Oryctolagus cuniculus: one gene and its partner. The protein of the gene in region 1 interacts with the protein of each later gene in a pairwise test. Links are inferred from orthologs where the notes say so. Each region holds a gene or a part of one and is shown in the gene's direction. Other genes may lie near its edges.

Region 1 (7,752 bases):
TATAGTCCTCTTCCACCAATCCCAACTCTGCTACCCACACGCCGAGTACGCTGCTCTCCTCCAATCAGGAGCAGGATCAGCTCCTGCAGGTCATCACTCAAGTTGGCGAGAGGCAGCTGCGTAGAAGCTGTTTACTCCTCTCCCAGCGCCATATTGTGGGAGAGCAGATGCATAGAATTAAGTCTTAATTCCAGTAACTTAGTCTAGTCCGAGTTGCTCCCCACAATTGATGATAGTGGTTATTCTGCTCATCAGTATTTCTCATTCTCTTTTTCCCAGACACTAGTAGGACTGAACTTCTCACTTCCCAAGAAGTTAGACATGGCCAGGACACTGCTTTGTCAATGAACTGTGCATAAGTGAATTGTGGATGCAAAACTCTACTCAGAGTAATGCAGGCCCCTGAAGCCTAGGGCCCAGGAGACTCCCAGGCATGAGCAGAGCAGTCCCTGCCTCTTTGCTGATTTGCAATGCACAAGATATAAGCTTTTATGTTAAAGCCACTGAGATTTGAGGGACAAGGCCTGATGCAATATTAAAGCTATTCCTCAAAAAAAAATTTGTTTCTACACAAAATAGAATTCAGTTCCAGGCCCTGATCATTATAAATAAGCTTTGCAGCAATATAAACACCTGCAGGGCAAGTGCTGTGGTACAGTTGGTTAAAGCACAGGCCTGCAGTGCCAGTATCTTTTACAGCTGCTGGTTCAAGTCCTGGCTGCTCCACTTTTGATTCAGCTCCCTGCTAATGCACCTGGGAAAACAGCACAGAACAGCCCAAGTGTTTGGAGCCCTGCACCCATGTGGGAGACCCAGAAGAAGCTCCTGGCTCCTGGTTTCAGATTGGCTTAGCTCCAGCCGTCCCTGTTATTTGAGGAGTGAACCAGAGGATGGAAGACCTCTCGGTCTCTCTCTGTCTCTACCTCTCTCTGTGGCTCTGTCTTACAAATAAATCTTTTTTAAAAATAAATAAAAATAAACACCTGGCAGCACTGGGAAGGGATGAGGGGTGTGGGACTATTCTTATCCCAGGACACCTTTGCCCCCTCCACCTGGTAAAGACCAGAAGCGGCAGCCCACCGGGACGATCAAACACCATCTCACCAGCTCCCCTGGCTGCAGCAGCACCCCACAGAGAACCGGCCTTCAGGGACCGCACAGGTCATGAAAACCAGTGAAATGGCTGGACCAGAGCACCTCCACTGCTAAAACAGCAATAACCAAGATTCTTTTCTCGACCATCCCTGAGTCAGGCTTCTGAACTTCCTCCTTGGCCTATCAGTACTCTTCTTCATAAAAACCGGTTTTACGGAGGAGCCCCGCTAAGCCACGTTAACAAGAACCACCCATAACACTCACCATCCACTTAGGTTCCTCATCCTCTGCCTCCTCCCTCCCCTGCTCTGGTTCTGATCACCCTGGCCCAAATTCAGCACGAAGCCTGTTGAGTCTCCTCAGAGTCCCCTTCACTCTTGCTGGTCCTCTTTGCTCATTTTGCACCCACGGACCGCACCCTGCTCCTTGGCATCCCGTCTCCCTGTGCCTGTGCCTGTGCTGAGCTCTGAACTGAGCTCAACCTGTTTCCCAGCTGCAAACCCCATTGCTGCTGCCGCTCCACGCATCAGCATGGCCCTGCCACAATCGGCCTCCCCACGCTTTCCCAGGTGTCACTGAGCCCGTTTATCCTACGCAGCAGCCATGGCTGAATCCAACAGTTGCTGCCAATAGGGCATATGCCAGGTTGCTTAATCTCCCCACGACTCAGAGAAGACGCAACTCCAAAGTTTTATGTGAAACTTCTGGTTCCTGCACGTCCGCAACAAGCTGTAAAGATGTCCCCACCCTCATGAGGGTTCCAAAATGAAAGTTTTCTGGTTTAAGCCAAATTTCTTTCTTTCCCAAGGGAGGAAACAGGCTGAAGATGTCCTTAACATCTGCCCAGCGTTCCTTAATGATGGGCGCAGCGCTGTCGTCATAAGAGCAGGACCAGATCTGATTTCCAGTGCACCCTTCACGGACCCGCAGTAGCATATTTTCCCTTAATTTAAAAGGAAAAAACAAAAAACAAAAAAACTCTCCTGGCACCTCTGTTCCAGTTTGCTAATTCGCCCATGCAATGATGGCTCTTTCTGAAGACTGCTGCGGAAAGATGACAAGGTAGAAAACGCAAAATAGGGCCGGCGATGCGGCTCACTAGGCTAATTCTCCGCCTTGTGGCGCCGGCACACGGGGTTCTAGTCCCAATCGGGGCGCCGGATTCTGTCCCGGTTGCCCCTCTTCCAGGCCAGCTCTCTGCTGTGGCCAGGGAGTGCAGTGGAGGATGGCCCAAGTCCTTGGGCCCTGCACCCCATGGGAGACCAGGATAAGTACCTGGCTCCTGCAATTTTCGGATCAGCCCTGTGCAGCGCGCCAGCCGCGGCGGCCATTGGAGGGTGAACCAACGGCAAAGGAAGACCTTTCTCTCTGTCTCTCTCTCTCTCTCTCACTGTCCACTCTGCCTGTCAAGAAATTTAAAAAAAAAAAAAAACGCAAAATAGGAAATGAAAATTAAAAACGGGAAACAGCATCACAGAGAAAGTGAAGTCCGGGGCCCCAATACGGGCCAGGCTGGGAGTGCAAGGGTCCCGGGAGAGAGGAAGTTCAAGAAGAACTTTCCATGCAAACAGGAGCCCCAGCTGCCAAGGATGTTTCTTATTTTACAATCTGTCCTGGCCCTGAATGGTTTCAGAGTGAAAGAAAGGTGAAGACGGCGGCGAGGAGGGAGAAGCACCTTGCAAGCACTGCAAAAAAAATCCTGCCAAGATACAGGCACGCCCGCCCGCACCGCCCCCGCCAGGCCGCGCCCGCCCGCGCCGCACCCACGCCCCGCCCACGGGCCACTTGACACCGCCAAGATGGCCGACCGGGAAGACGGCTCCCCAGCGGGGCGGGAGCCGGAGCCGGAGTCGGAGTCCGGGCCGGGGTCTGAGCCGGGAGAAGACTTCGAGATCGTGGACCGCGGCCAGTTGCCGAGCCCGGGCGCGCTGCGGAGCGCGGCCAAGGCGGCCGAGGGCTGGTCGGCGCCCATTCTGACCCTGGCGCGACGGGCCACCGGGAACCTGTCGGCGAGCTGCGGGAACGCGCTGCGCGCGGCCGCGGGGCTGGGCGGTACGGACGGCGGCGCGGACGGGGCGGCGCGCGCAGGTAGGGGGGCCCGCGGGAGAGCGCGCGGGGCTGCGCGGCGGGCTGGGGCCGGGCTCTCGCACCCGGCGTTTCGTGGCGCTCCCCGGGAACGGCCCCGGAAAGCTCCCGGGTTGGCGTCTAGGCTTTAGGAATCTGTATCGGGTGTTTAAATGTTTGGGGGAGCAAGACCCGTGGTGTTTCCCGCCGGTGCCCGCGTGTCCCCCGCGCACCCCGGGCTCGCCGTGGAGTCCGCAGGCTTGGGCCCGCCGCTGAAGCGCGTGGGACGAGCCGCCACTCCTCCCGCCACGGCCCCGGTCACGCGGGCATCTCCGCAGAGGGCTTTTCAGCGCTTGTAGTCTGGAGCAGTGTCGGCGTGAGAAGACTGGAAACATCCAACCGTTAGGACCCTAACAAGCCCTCCAAACCAGATGTTTGGGCTGTGCCGCCCCACACAGGAGCCACGAGCCGCGGGTGACATTCGCATGAAAAATTAGTTAACATTCCAAAGTGGAATCCCTTAATTGATTCAATTTCAATTCCCAAACTCAAAGTGCATACATCAACTTCTCTGTGTCGGTGGGCTTTGCAGCCACAGGTGTAACCGACCAACCGCAGATCAGAAATACAGTATTTGCGGTTTTGAGAAGGGTCTTGACAATTGAGCAGGCCAGTGACAGGTGACATTAGTAACCCCTTTTATAAAGGGGGATACTTCCACCAAATCAGGATACTCCTGGAGCCACGCTCTTAGTTACCATCCCTCACTGCCTGTCTCCTTGATAACTTTATATAGTAATATATACCATTTGGACTTTGAAAATTGGTCAATTTAAAGAAATGGTAAGTGGTAACTGCCACTTGAACTGGCAAAAATTGTGAACAAAAATGAACATGGGGGGAAGCTGGTGTTGGAGTGGAACAGCCAGTTAAGCTGGGAACTGGCATTCCTTATCTATCTGAGCACCACTTCCGATCCAGCTTCCTGGAAAGGCAGCACACGATGGACCCCTGCTGTCCATGTAGGAGACCAGGATGGCGTTTGGGGCTCCTGGCTTCAGCCTGGCCCAGCCCTGGACATCGCAGCCATTTGAGGAGTGAACCTGATGAAAGATTCTCTCTCTCTCTCTCTCTCTCTCTCTCTCTCTCTCTCTGTGTGTGTGTGTGTGTGTGTGCATCTCCTGTAGCTCTGTCTTTCAAATAAATACATCTTTAAAAAAAAAAAAAAATCGTGAGCATGGCTTCCTGGCTGGTCCCTGAAAGATTTCAAACGGTCAGGTAGGACAGGAGCGGAGGTGGGGAAGGAGCCAAATGTGAGCATCACCCTCTGCAGAGGCCTCAGGAAAACTGGTGGGGAGACAGTGGCCAGCACTTGTGTCAGGCCTGGGGCGGATGCCGGCTCCTCCTTTCCCATTGCTCTGCTGAGGACGGGGTGATCTCCGAGGGCAGCCACCAGGCGCAGAGCTTGGAGAGGAGGTGTGCTCCTGCTAGGAATATTTTTGATGATGGCGATTACAAGACAACACAGTGCAATGTTGTGGGATATATGGCATATTTGCTTTAAGATGTTATCCTACATGGGATCTATTTTGTTTGGGGGATTTTTTTTAAGTCAATAAAGCCACATGATTTAAAAAAAAAAATGTGGCTAGTGCTGTGGCGTAGCAGATAAAGCCGCCACATGCAGTGCCAGCATCCCATATGGGTGCCAGTTCAAGTCCTGGCTGCTCCACTTTTGATCCAGCTGCCTGCTAATGTGCCTGAGAAAGCAGCAGAAGATGGCCCAAGTACTTGAGCTCCTACACCCATGTGGGAGACCTGGAGGAAGCTCCTGGCTCCTGGCTCCTAGCTTCAGCCTGGCCCAGCCCCAGCTATAGCAGCCATTTGGGGAGTGAACCAGCAGATGTTAAGATCTCTCTGCCTCTCTCTGTAACTCTGCCTTTCAAATAAATAAATCAGATCAAAAATAAAAACAAAAATCCAACCATGCAAAAGAACATTGAATGTACAGTAAGTCTTCCTTGTAAGAAACTGTCCCCACTGCTGTGTCTGTCCAAGTGCTTGCATGTAGCACGGGTGCTTTCCTCTCTCACAGTCTTCAGGCCATCAGGATGTACACAGGAGGCACTACAGCTTGCTTTTCATGAGTAATAAAGGATGAGTAATAAAACATGTGCTTCCAAGAGGGAACACACCAAGCATCGGGTCTTTCTTGTTCATGGCTGTTCAAAAAAAAAAAAGTGCTCTTTTATTTTGAAATGGTTCAACTTAGTCTTTGTCATCAGATCACTGGTGTGGATTATGCCTGTTTCCATTCTTTGCCACACATTAAAATACCCCTGCAGGCAGGCATTGTGGCATAAGCAAGCTAAATCACCGCCTGCGATGGCGGCATCCCATATCGCCACCAGCTTGCTCTCATCTGCTCCACTTCCGATCTCTACTAATGTGTCTGGGAAATAAGTGGAAGGTGGCCCAAGGATTTGGGTCCCTGAACCCATGTGGTAGATCCAGATGGAGTTCCAGGTTCCTGGCTTCGGCCTGGCCCAGGCCCAGAGGCCATTTGGGGAGTGAACCAGCAGATATAAGATCTCCTTTCTCTCTCTCTCTCTCTGTAACTCTGCCTTTCAAATAAAATAAATCATAAAAAATAATGTCCCTGCCGCAGAAGTACTACACTTTCCAGAGTGAAACACTGCAACTTTTCCCCCTTTATGTTGCCAAACTCTGATTTAGCCAAAAACAATTAGGAAAGTGGCAAAACGTGTCTCCATCAGTACCGTGCAGGATAACCTCATCCTGTGTCATGTCATTGGAGATACCAAAGGGCTCCTCCAAATCAAAAATGTGAAGAATCTAGTCATTCTTGTGTAATTCAGAACCGCTCCCTGCCCCAGTGTCCCTGGAACCTCTCAAGACCGGGCATTTTCTGTCCAGCTCAGCTTATTGTTCGTGTTGCGGGCCCAGCCCCTGCCGACTGTTGAGCTGTCCACTTAATGCAGAACTTCGCCGTGTCCCAACACTTGTGTGCTGTGCCATCATTAATCACGCTTAGCCTGGCCAAAGTCACAAAGCCAGTAACACTGAGAGAAGGGCCAAAAGACAGGTCCTGCTCTAACTTTCTGAGACTGTAAATTGAGTGTAAGCAAGACAAGGCGCCCGAGAGCACAGGATGGGTGAGCTGGCGTTCCTAGGGACGGCGGTCGCTGCAAGCCGCTGCTGCCCGCCTCTGCTCGCTTGCAACTCTGGACTGCACAGCTTTACTCACATGTGTTACCCATCAAAGACATCTCCAACTTTTAAAGTTGTTACATAAAATTCTTGATCAAAATTTTAAAGCTGTTCAGAGTACATTTTTCTAGGTTGCAGTGTGCTTCCTCCCGGTCTCCCATGCGGGTGCAGGGCCTAAGCACTTGGGCCATCCTCCACTGCTCTCCGGGGCCACAGCAGAGAGCTGGACTGGAAGAGGGGCAACTGGGACTAGAACCCGGCACCCATATGGGATGCTGGCCCCACAGGTGGAGGATTAACCAAGTGAGCCACAGTTCTTCCTCCAGTTCTTCCCATGTATACATTTTTCTGGTTTGTAAATGCTGACTTTTTAAAATAAAACTCTTCGATGGTTCTTTAAAGTGCATCAAGGGTTATGTATATTACACTAATGATTTCATAAGCATCACCATTCATCTTAAAAATAAATACCAAGAGGGCTGGCGCTGTCCTTGGGGCCCTGCACCCGCATGGGAAGACCTGGAGGAAGCTCCTGGCTCCTGGCTTTGATCAGTACAGCTCCCGCCATTGCGGCCAATTGGGGAGTGAACCAGCGGATGGAAGACCTCTCTCTGCCCATCCTTCTCTCTCTGTGTAACTCTGACTTTCTAATAAATAAATACGAGGGCCAGCGCTGTGGTGTAGCAGGTAAAGCCACCACTTGTGATGTTGGCATCTTATATGGGCGCTAGTTTGAGTTTGGCTGCTTCACTTTGATCCAGCTCTCTGCTAATGGCCTGGGAAAGCAGCAGAGGATGGTCCAAGTATTTGGGCTCCGGGCTCCTGGCTCCTGGCCCAGCCCAAGCCATTGTCATTTGGGGAGTAACCAGTGGATGGAAGAATACTCTCTCTGTGTGTCTCTCCCTCTCTCTGTAACTGTTTCAAATAAATAAATAGATAGATAAATAAATTATTTATTTATTTATTTTAAATTATTTGACAGATAGACAGTGAGAGAGAGAGACAGAGAGAAAGGTCTTCCTTCCGTTGGTTCACCCCCCAAATGGCCACCATGGCTGGCGCTGTGCCGATCCGAAGCCAGGAGCCAGGTGCATCCTCCTGGTCTCCCATGCAGGTGCAGGGCCCAAGGACTTGGGCCATCCTCCACTGCCCTTCCAGGCCACGGCAGAGAGCTGGACTGGAAGAGGAACAACTGGGACAGAACCCGGCGCCCATATCCTCTGCCACAGGCAGAGGATTAACCAAGTGAGCCACAGTACCGGCCCCAATAAATTTTTTTTTAAAGACTTTATTTGTTTATTTGAAAGGTAGATATACAGACAGAGGGAGAGACAGAGAGGTCACTTCCCAAATTACTGCAAT
Region 2 (7,973 bases), on another chromosome or scaffold:
AAATTCCACATATGAGAAAAAAGAAAACATGTATTTTTCTTTCTGTGTCTAGCTTATTTCACTTAGCATAATGATCTCCAGTTCTATCCATTTTCTTTAAAGAGAAAGTTAAATTTTTTTCTGAGATGCTATATATTACATTAAATGTTCTTATGACTATATGATAGATGATAGGTAGATATAGACAGATGACAGATAGATAAATAGATAATAGATAAAGATTGAGACAGTAAACAGTTCTTCACAAACCCTTACAAAAAGTAGAACCACAGAAAGTCCTAACAATAAGAAAACCCCCACCAATAAATATTTTGAATGTAGGTGTGAAAAATCCTAAACAAAATACTAGAAACTGAGAGTGGATTCAAGATAGTCATATAGTGAAGTCCAGTATTTACCTCCTCCTGCAGGGCAACTATGTCTACATGTGAGTGCCTAAGGAAGAGCCCTGGCAGCAGTAAGAGAGCAACGGGATTGCAGTGGGACACTACTAGCAGCTTGGAGAGAGGAAAAAGAAAAACCAAATCACACCAGATGGTGTCTGAAGCCCTAGTCTCACAGCCAGCTAATGGATTTCTTGTTGTCGATGAGCAGGAGAGCCTAGGCATATCCTCCCAAATATTTTAAATCATCTGTAGATTCCTTATAATACCTAACACAATGTAAACACTATGTCAATAACTTATGCTGTATTGTTTAGGGACTATAACAAGGAAAAACTTCAGTGTGTGTTCAGTACAGATAACCTTTTTCCCAAATATTTTTGAATCCCATGGACATAGAGTGCCAATGTTACTGGCTCATGTTACAATATGGATAGACCTTGAAAATGCTAAGTGATTAAGCCAGTTACAAAAATTCACATTTTGTATGATTTCATTTATACTAAATGTCCAGAATAGGGAAATATATTGAGCCAGAAAGTAGGTTAGTGGTGGCCAGGGACTACAATGGATAAAATGTTTGCACTTTCTTTTCAAAGTGATAAAAAAAAAAAATCTCCTGGAGCCAGGATTGCAATGTAGCAGGTTAGTGGCTGCCTGCGATGCCAGCATCCCACATGGGCACCAGTTCAAGTCCTGGCCACTCCACCTTCAGTCCAGCTCTCTGTTAGCAGTCTGGGAAAACTGTGGAAGATGACCGGGGCCCCTGCACCCACCCATTGTAGCCATTTGCATTCAGAGAGTTAACCACTGAAAAGATTTCTCTCTCTTTTCTCTCTCTCTCTGTCTCTCTGTCTGTCTCTCCTTCTCTTTCTGTAACTCTGCCTTTTAAATAAATATATAAATATTTTAAAAATTATCTAAAATTAACTGTGGTAACAATTACACATATTGTGACTATGCTAAAAATCATTTAATTGTTCCCTGAATAGAGAAATTGTATGATGTGTGAATTTATATAACAATAAAATTGTGTAATGTAACAATAAAAAGTATATACAAAAATACAAAGGATATGAAGAAGAAATTGTCTTTCCACACTTTACTGGCTGCAATATAAATTGGTAAATATCTTTGGAATGTATAACACCCCTGTCCTTGGCCCCACTTTAAGAGTCTGGTTCATAGAAATAAAGTTAGTGTGACTGTACATAAAATCTGTTTTAATTTTTTAATCAAAGGAATTTATTAATATATTAGATTCTCAGGGTCATAGTAAATGCATGATAATTACACCAATTCTCATTTTAATATGATATTAATACAAACAACAGATTCAATGTAGTTCCTAGGAACAATTCTCAGAATATAATGATACTTGCATGCTTTCCTGCATATTCATTCCTTTCTTCCTTAAAATTTTAAGGCAAAAAGAATATGAGTTGGAAATGGAGAGGTTTATGATGCTTAATTAACTGCAAAAAGCAAGTTTGAAAGTAATGATCCACTTTGATTCAATCTTGAATCTTAGTGAAAACAAAATAATAAATGTATATGGACACTCACGTATGTTTGTATATTTATGTAAATGTGGAAACACATGTAGATGAATATATAATTATAAACGTCCTATTTTTGCATACATTTTGCATTACTTCACTAGTTTCAATGGAAAGATATTACATTTGCAATTTAAATGATAGAGGAAATTTTAAATTACAAAGAGGCAATAAAAAATGAAAGGCGAGACCATAAATGAGTGTTAGTTTCTGAGTCCTGACTTCTACTGATTCACACCCCTGCTAATGGCCTGGGAAGGTATCAAAAGATGTGCAAGTAGTTGGGTCACTGCCAGCCACGTGGGAAACTAGGATGAAGCTCCTGGCTCCTGGCTTCAGCCTGGACTAGTTCCTGCTGTTGCAGCCACTTGGGGAGTGAATTTATTGATAGAAGATCTCTGTCTGTCCCTCCCTCTCTGTATAATTCTGGTTTTCAAATAATTTCTTTTAAAAAGAAAAGACAAAAAAGAAAAAGAGAAAAGAGAGGGGAGGGGAGGGGAGGGGAAGAGAGAAGAGAGAGGAGAGGAGAGGAGAGAGAAGACAGGAGGGGAGGGGAAGGGTGGGGGAAGGGGAGGGGAGTAAAGGAAGGGAAGAGAAGAGAAAAGAAAAAAGAGGAGAAGAAAGGAAAAGAAAATTAAAAAAAAAAAAAGAAGGAAAAGGGAATGTGCTGTTCTCAAGGTCGTTTGCGAGTGCGCTCTTCTTAGAGAAAGTGCGGCGGCAGCCCTGGGAGTCGCGTCTACACGAGGGATTACAGTAGCTCGGTTGTCAGTGATGAGTCAGAGTGCGTGGTGCTGATGCTGCTGCCATTTCATCACCTTTGCAAGCGCAGCATCTATCCCTCTGCTCTCCTCGCGCCTGGGCCTACCTCGCTTTGGGCTAGCAGGCCAGCGATGAGCTCATGGTCCAGCTAGATTGGGGCCAAGCCGAGCTCTCCGAGGCTTAGGCGGGGGGCCCCCTCCTGCCGCCCCCAGCCTGGGCCAAGGAGACCTGCCAAGCCGCTGCCATGGAGGCCATCTGGCTGTACCAGTTCCGGCTCATTGTCATCGGGGATTCCACGGTGGGCAAGTCCTGCTTGATTCGGCGTTTCACCGAGGGTCGCTTTGCCCAGGTTTCGGATCCCACCGTAGGAGTGGATTTTTTCTCCCGTTTGGTGGAGATCGAGCCAGGAAAACGCATCAAGCTCCAGATCTGGGATACGGCGGGTCAAGAGAGGTTCAGGTGGGAGCGCAGCCCGGGCCCATGACCAATGGGAGGGTCTTCAGGGCTTGCACAGACCCTGGGGAGCGAGGACTTCCTGGTCCTAGTTGCTGTTCAAAGGGCAAACTAAGGGTTGGGGTGGGGGGTGGTCTTCTGTGACTGCAATGTAGGGAAAGAAACGCGATAGCAGAGAAGGCCAGTTAATAACCAGGACCCTCTCCTATCTGGAATTGATTCCTGTAATTCAACCTCAGTCCCTATGTTACATCCTTTCAAAACTGTTCCCAGAGGCCATCCTAATGTAACTGACAAAGACACATAGATTTTGTTTCTATATCTCTCTGTGTATATACATGAGATACACACACACATACACACACATACACACACACCTAGATGTGTCTTAACAAAATCGATTGATTCCTTTTTACAAACAGCAGACATTCAGTGATCAGTGATCACCTACTATGTGGCAGGCACTGGACTTGTTTCTAGAGAAACCACATGAGGGATGCCATCTATTAAAAATAACACACAACCCCTTCCCTCCTAGAAGTTCTGTGCTGACCTATTAGGGGGAAATAATCATGAATTACACAAAAGAATGTCTTGTTTGTATTTGTGGCTCCTCTCCCTACTTTAACACCTGCCACATGATGAGTAATCAGTGAACATGTTTAATGTTCTCTTACAATCCTTTGCTTTTCCTTTATAGCATTTATTATTTGTACTTACATACATGAACACAGAGGAGGGAAAACTAACTGGAAAAGATCAATGTGTACACGGAAAACTTTATAGAGAACAATTTGAACTAAACTCAGAGCAGCAAGAATCAGATTGAGAACTCAACAGCCTATGTTTATGATCATTTATTCATGTATCTATTGAACACTCATTGAGCATGCAAGATACTGGTTAAGTAATTTAAAAAATACTGGGAGAATAGGAAATAATAAACTTAAGTTGTCTCCAACTCCCAGCTTCCACAAACCGCACTGTGGCAAATATTCTTGCACAGGTTCACTTTCAACCTGTGATTGCATTTCTCATGGGTGAAGAAAAATATCTTTTATATGTTGGAATTTCTGTATTAACATTCTAGTCATATCCAATATTTACCATTTATTTGCAACCATTATTTACAGAGTAACAATATTAACCCTTTCCTGTCATGTAAGATATTTTTTCCAGTTTGTCCTTTGTGTTTTCACTCTAAGATATTTTTATGTAGGGAAGATTTTAAGTTTTATGTAGCCTTGTGTTATGCTTGGAAAGGAAAGGGTTTTGTCACTTTGCTAAATACTCAGAAGCCATTAATGTAATAATACATTGTAGCACACTTTTGGGGACTTACAGCTTATTGATTTCTTGAGTCAAGCATTCACAAATCAAAACCTTCCTTCATGTCTAATTTTCTGGCTCACCACCATTAACCATGAATCCTCAGAAGTCAAGGCAATTAGAAATGTTTTTACTTCCCTGAGGTTGACCTGCCTGATCCTGGAGATGAACTTGTTTGGGCTTACCATCATCTAGCATGGACTGTAATTTCCTGGACAATATTTGTTCTGTTAACATTGGTTCATTTCACCTAAGCTTTAAGCTATTGAGTCCTTCATTGTTCACATTTTTCATTCAAGGAGACAGAAAACCTAAAAACAGGTATATGTAAAAGTCACAGTAGACTAAAGCAAGTTCTAACCCCTCTAATAGGCTCTAATATATTCCAAGCAAAGTACCATAATGTATATTGATAATGAAGCTCCTCCAATCAAGAAGTTAAAATCAGTGAGATTTCTTCTAAGAAGTATGGCAAATATACAACAAATTTTACAAATATTCCAAGTGCCCTGGCTTAAATCAATCATATTATTTTAGGGGGAAGCTTTGACTATTCAGGTGGATTTTCCTAGTTGGTAGATCCTGAGCTTGACTCTCATAAATGTGTCCCCTAACCCTTTCACCACTTCTTTTTTTTTTTTTTTTAACTGTTCCCACATGGCCTGGAAAAGAAAACAAATTGTCTTTCTCCTCACAGAAGAGATTGAGGATCCTTGGTAGGTAATAATAGGCACAATGGAAAGAGTAAAACATAGTAACAATCAACAGAAAAAGCACGGTGCAGTGTAAGATACTTATAATGAATTTCTATTAACTATCATAAGTACATTTTTATTTTTGACGACTCCCATTTCAATTACTAGCATTTCTGATGAACTAACCCTCTAGGTCACAGGATACTTTAACATCTGTTACTTCATTTTGCCTCATGATAACCCTCTGACTCATTTTGCAGAAGAGGAAGTCTCTACCAGTTGTTCATATTTGGTGGTGGGAGTTAGTTGTGGTTTTGTCTGAAGGCAGGAAATAAAAGTCAATCATTTCCCAGCATTTCCAGTGCTTAACTGAGGGAAAAGGCCTGAAACACTATGAGCATTCATTTGTACAAGATGCTATCTCAAATTTTTTTCCAATTGAAAAGTTGTATTTCATAATTATTATAGAAAAGCATTTGTATTCTCTTGTTTCTTTAAACATAAAATCGCTTTTATTAAATGGCTATGAGAGTAATCACCAGGAACACTAAAATCTTCTGAGTTCATTGACGTGCAGGAATTTGCACATGGCCTTATTCTTTACTTCTTTCTTGTGTTTTAGATCCATCACTCGAGCCTACTACAGGAACTCAGTAGGCGGTCTTCTCTTATTTGACATTACCAACCGCAGGTCCTTCCAGAATGTCCATGAGTGGTTAGAAGAGACCAAAGTACACGTTCAGCCCTACCAAATTGTGTTTGTTCTGGTGGGTCACAAGTGTGACCTGGATACTCAGAGGCAAGTGACTCGCCACGAGGCCGAGAAACTGGCTGCTGCATACGGCATGAAGTACATTGAAACGTCAGCCCGAGATGCCATTAATGTGGAGAAAGCCTTCACAGACCTGACGAGAGACATATATGAGCTGGTTAAAAGGGGGGAGATTACAATCCAGGAGGGCTGGGAAGGGGTGAAGAGTGGATTTGTGCCAAATGTGGTTCACTCTTCAGAAGAGGTTGTTAAATCAGAGAGGAGGTGTTTGTGCTAGTTGGCCCTTTTCTTTCCCAAACATGCTCTCGCACCTGAACTTACAAAAACCACCAAAATGAATAGAACCTTTCTGTGACTGAAGAGAACTGAACCTCCATTTGGATACCAAGTGAGACGCCTTCCCTGGGTGGATGGGGGAGCCTGGTGCTGGGACTGAGGGACTGCACTGTGCATATGGGCTGGACAGGGCCAGACACTGTTTTGTGGCCCACGCTGAGCAATGGCTGCTCTGTGTGCCCTTGGTGAGCCACATATTAAAGGCCTGGGGTTTGAAAAGCTAGATCCCAGGAAAACAATCCTACAGACAAGACACCTATTGTTCCTTGGTATTTCCACTAACTCATGGGTCATGAACATAAAGAAACATGTAAAGGGAAAAAAGTATCACATGGATAACAAGTAACATAACTAAAAGACTGTGAGATCAACTTATTCAGAGAAAATATTCTATACCAACTGTGTGTGCTGGGTTTGGTTACAAGGTACAAGTTAGTTTCTGTAAAATAAGGGATATGAACCAGCCATTTGCTAAGATACTTACATGTGGATATGAAAAGGAGGCCATTTGAGAAAATGTATACTCTAATGGTAGAATTCTCAGCTATGTAAAAGAAATTGTCCTGTGCAAATTACCATATGGGTAGCCATACTCCCCCCCCCCCCCATCTGTGCCTACAGTTTCATGGCACTGGCAACTGCAATATTGAAGTAAATAGCCTGCTGCTTCTTTAAACACCTGACAGGGACAACATAGGGATGGCCTCTGAAAATAGCCCAAAGGCAAATCCTTGCTCAACAGTCTTGTGCTGAGTACCTGCTCAATAGTGAGCATTATCACCCTTACAAGCACATGACAGTTCCTTATGCTACTTATTTGATCATCCTAACAGGCCTGAGAAGTTTTTGTCACCATTGCACTGAGTAGTGAACTAACAGGCAGGAGACTTACTTGGCCAAGGTCAAAGACTCCTGACTCGTAGTTCTTTTCACTGCATCATCCTCTGTCAGATGAATAAACAATTATTAATGTGTTTACTCTGGAAGAGATATGACTGTAAATAAATGTCCTGTACATGTTAGGATATGTTTCCCTTTTGATTAAAACTCAGCTATATTCCTGATGGAACATGAGAATTAGTCAAAGGTAAAGCCCATTCAGGTATTACTGATAAGATACAGTGATAAACAAGTGAGTAACCCCACAACTGAAAACACATCAGAACTGTGGGCTGTTAAGTGTTCTTATCATTGAGACACAATGAACATTTTATTGAAAATAACCACATACAGCAATGGGGAGTGGGATGGGTACAAAAATACTCACCCCACAATGACCTGGGCTACCTGTCTGCCCTATGCCTACACTGCCTTGTGTCTACCCTAGAGAGTCAGCTATTTAATTCTCAGCTGAACAGTGAGCTAACAGCATCAGCAAATTGGAATGACTGACTTGAAGCCTCCATTATCTTCTTGAAGAAAGGTGATGCTTTAAATTAGTTTTTGGATTGTAGTCAGTTCAGTCAGGCACAAGCCATACTTTTCACAGTGAGAAGACTATTCTGATTAGAGTCAGGTTTATCATATCCATTGTGACAGGAAAGCATAAGAATGGCAAACTGCTTTGAGATATAGTATTGAACTTCAGTATGGATGTGACTGAATCTGAAAGTTGGGGAATTTGCTTCAGCCAGAAAAAAGAAGCAAAATAATGAAAATTATGGAAGATCATTCTACTACCTGCCCC

Evidence for each region.
Region 2: the proteins of RUFY1 (region 1) and RAB39B interact in binary tests that used the Homo sapiens proteins (3 or more experiments, as listed by UniProt). The two-hybrid records come from large-scale screens. The link is inferred for Oryctolagus cuniculus from reciprocal best matches to the Homo sapiens genes RUFY1 and RAB39B.

What each region holds. Positions count from the first base shown.
Region 1 is NC_091437.1:67,936,489-67,944,240, reverse strand, and holds the start of RUFY1 (RUN and FYVE domain-containing protein 1), read left to right. Parts: upstream 1-2,873; 5' UTR 2,874-2,894; coding exon 2,895-3,183; intron 3,184-7,752. UniProt on the Homo sapiens protein: Activating adapter involved in cargo sorting from early/recycling endosomes. Regulates retrieval of proteins from endosomes to the trans-Golgi network through interaction with the dynein-dynactin complex.
Region 2 is NC_091453.1:133,766,820-133,774,792, reverse strand, and holds RAB39B (ras-related protein Rab-39B), read left to right. Parts: upstream 1-2,945; coding exon 2,946-3,160; intron 3,161-5,303; exon of another isoform or gene 5,304-5,800; coding exon 5,801-6,227; downstream 6,228-7,973. UniProt on the Homo sapiens protein: The small GTPases Rab are key regulators of intracellular membrane trafficking, from the formation of transport vesicles to their fusion with membranes.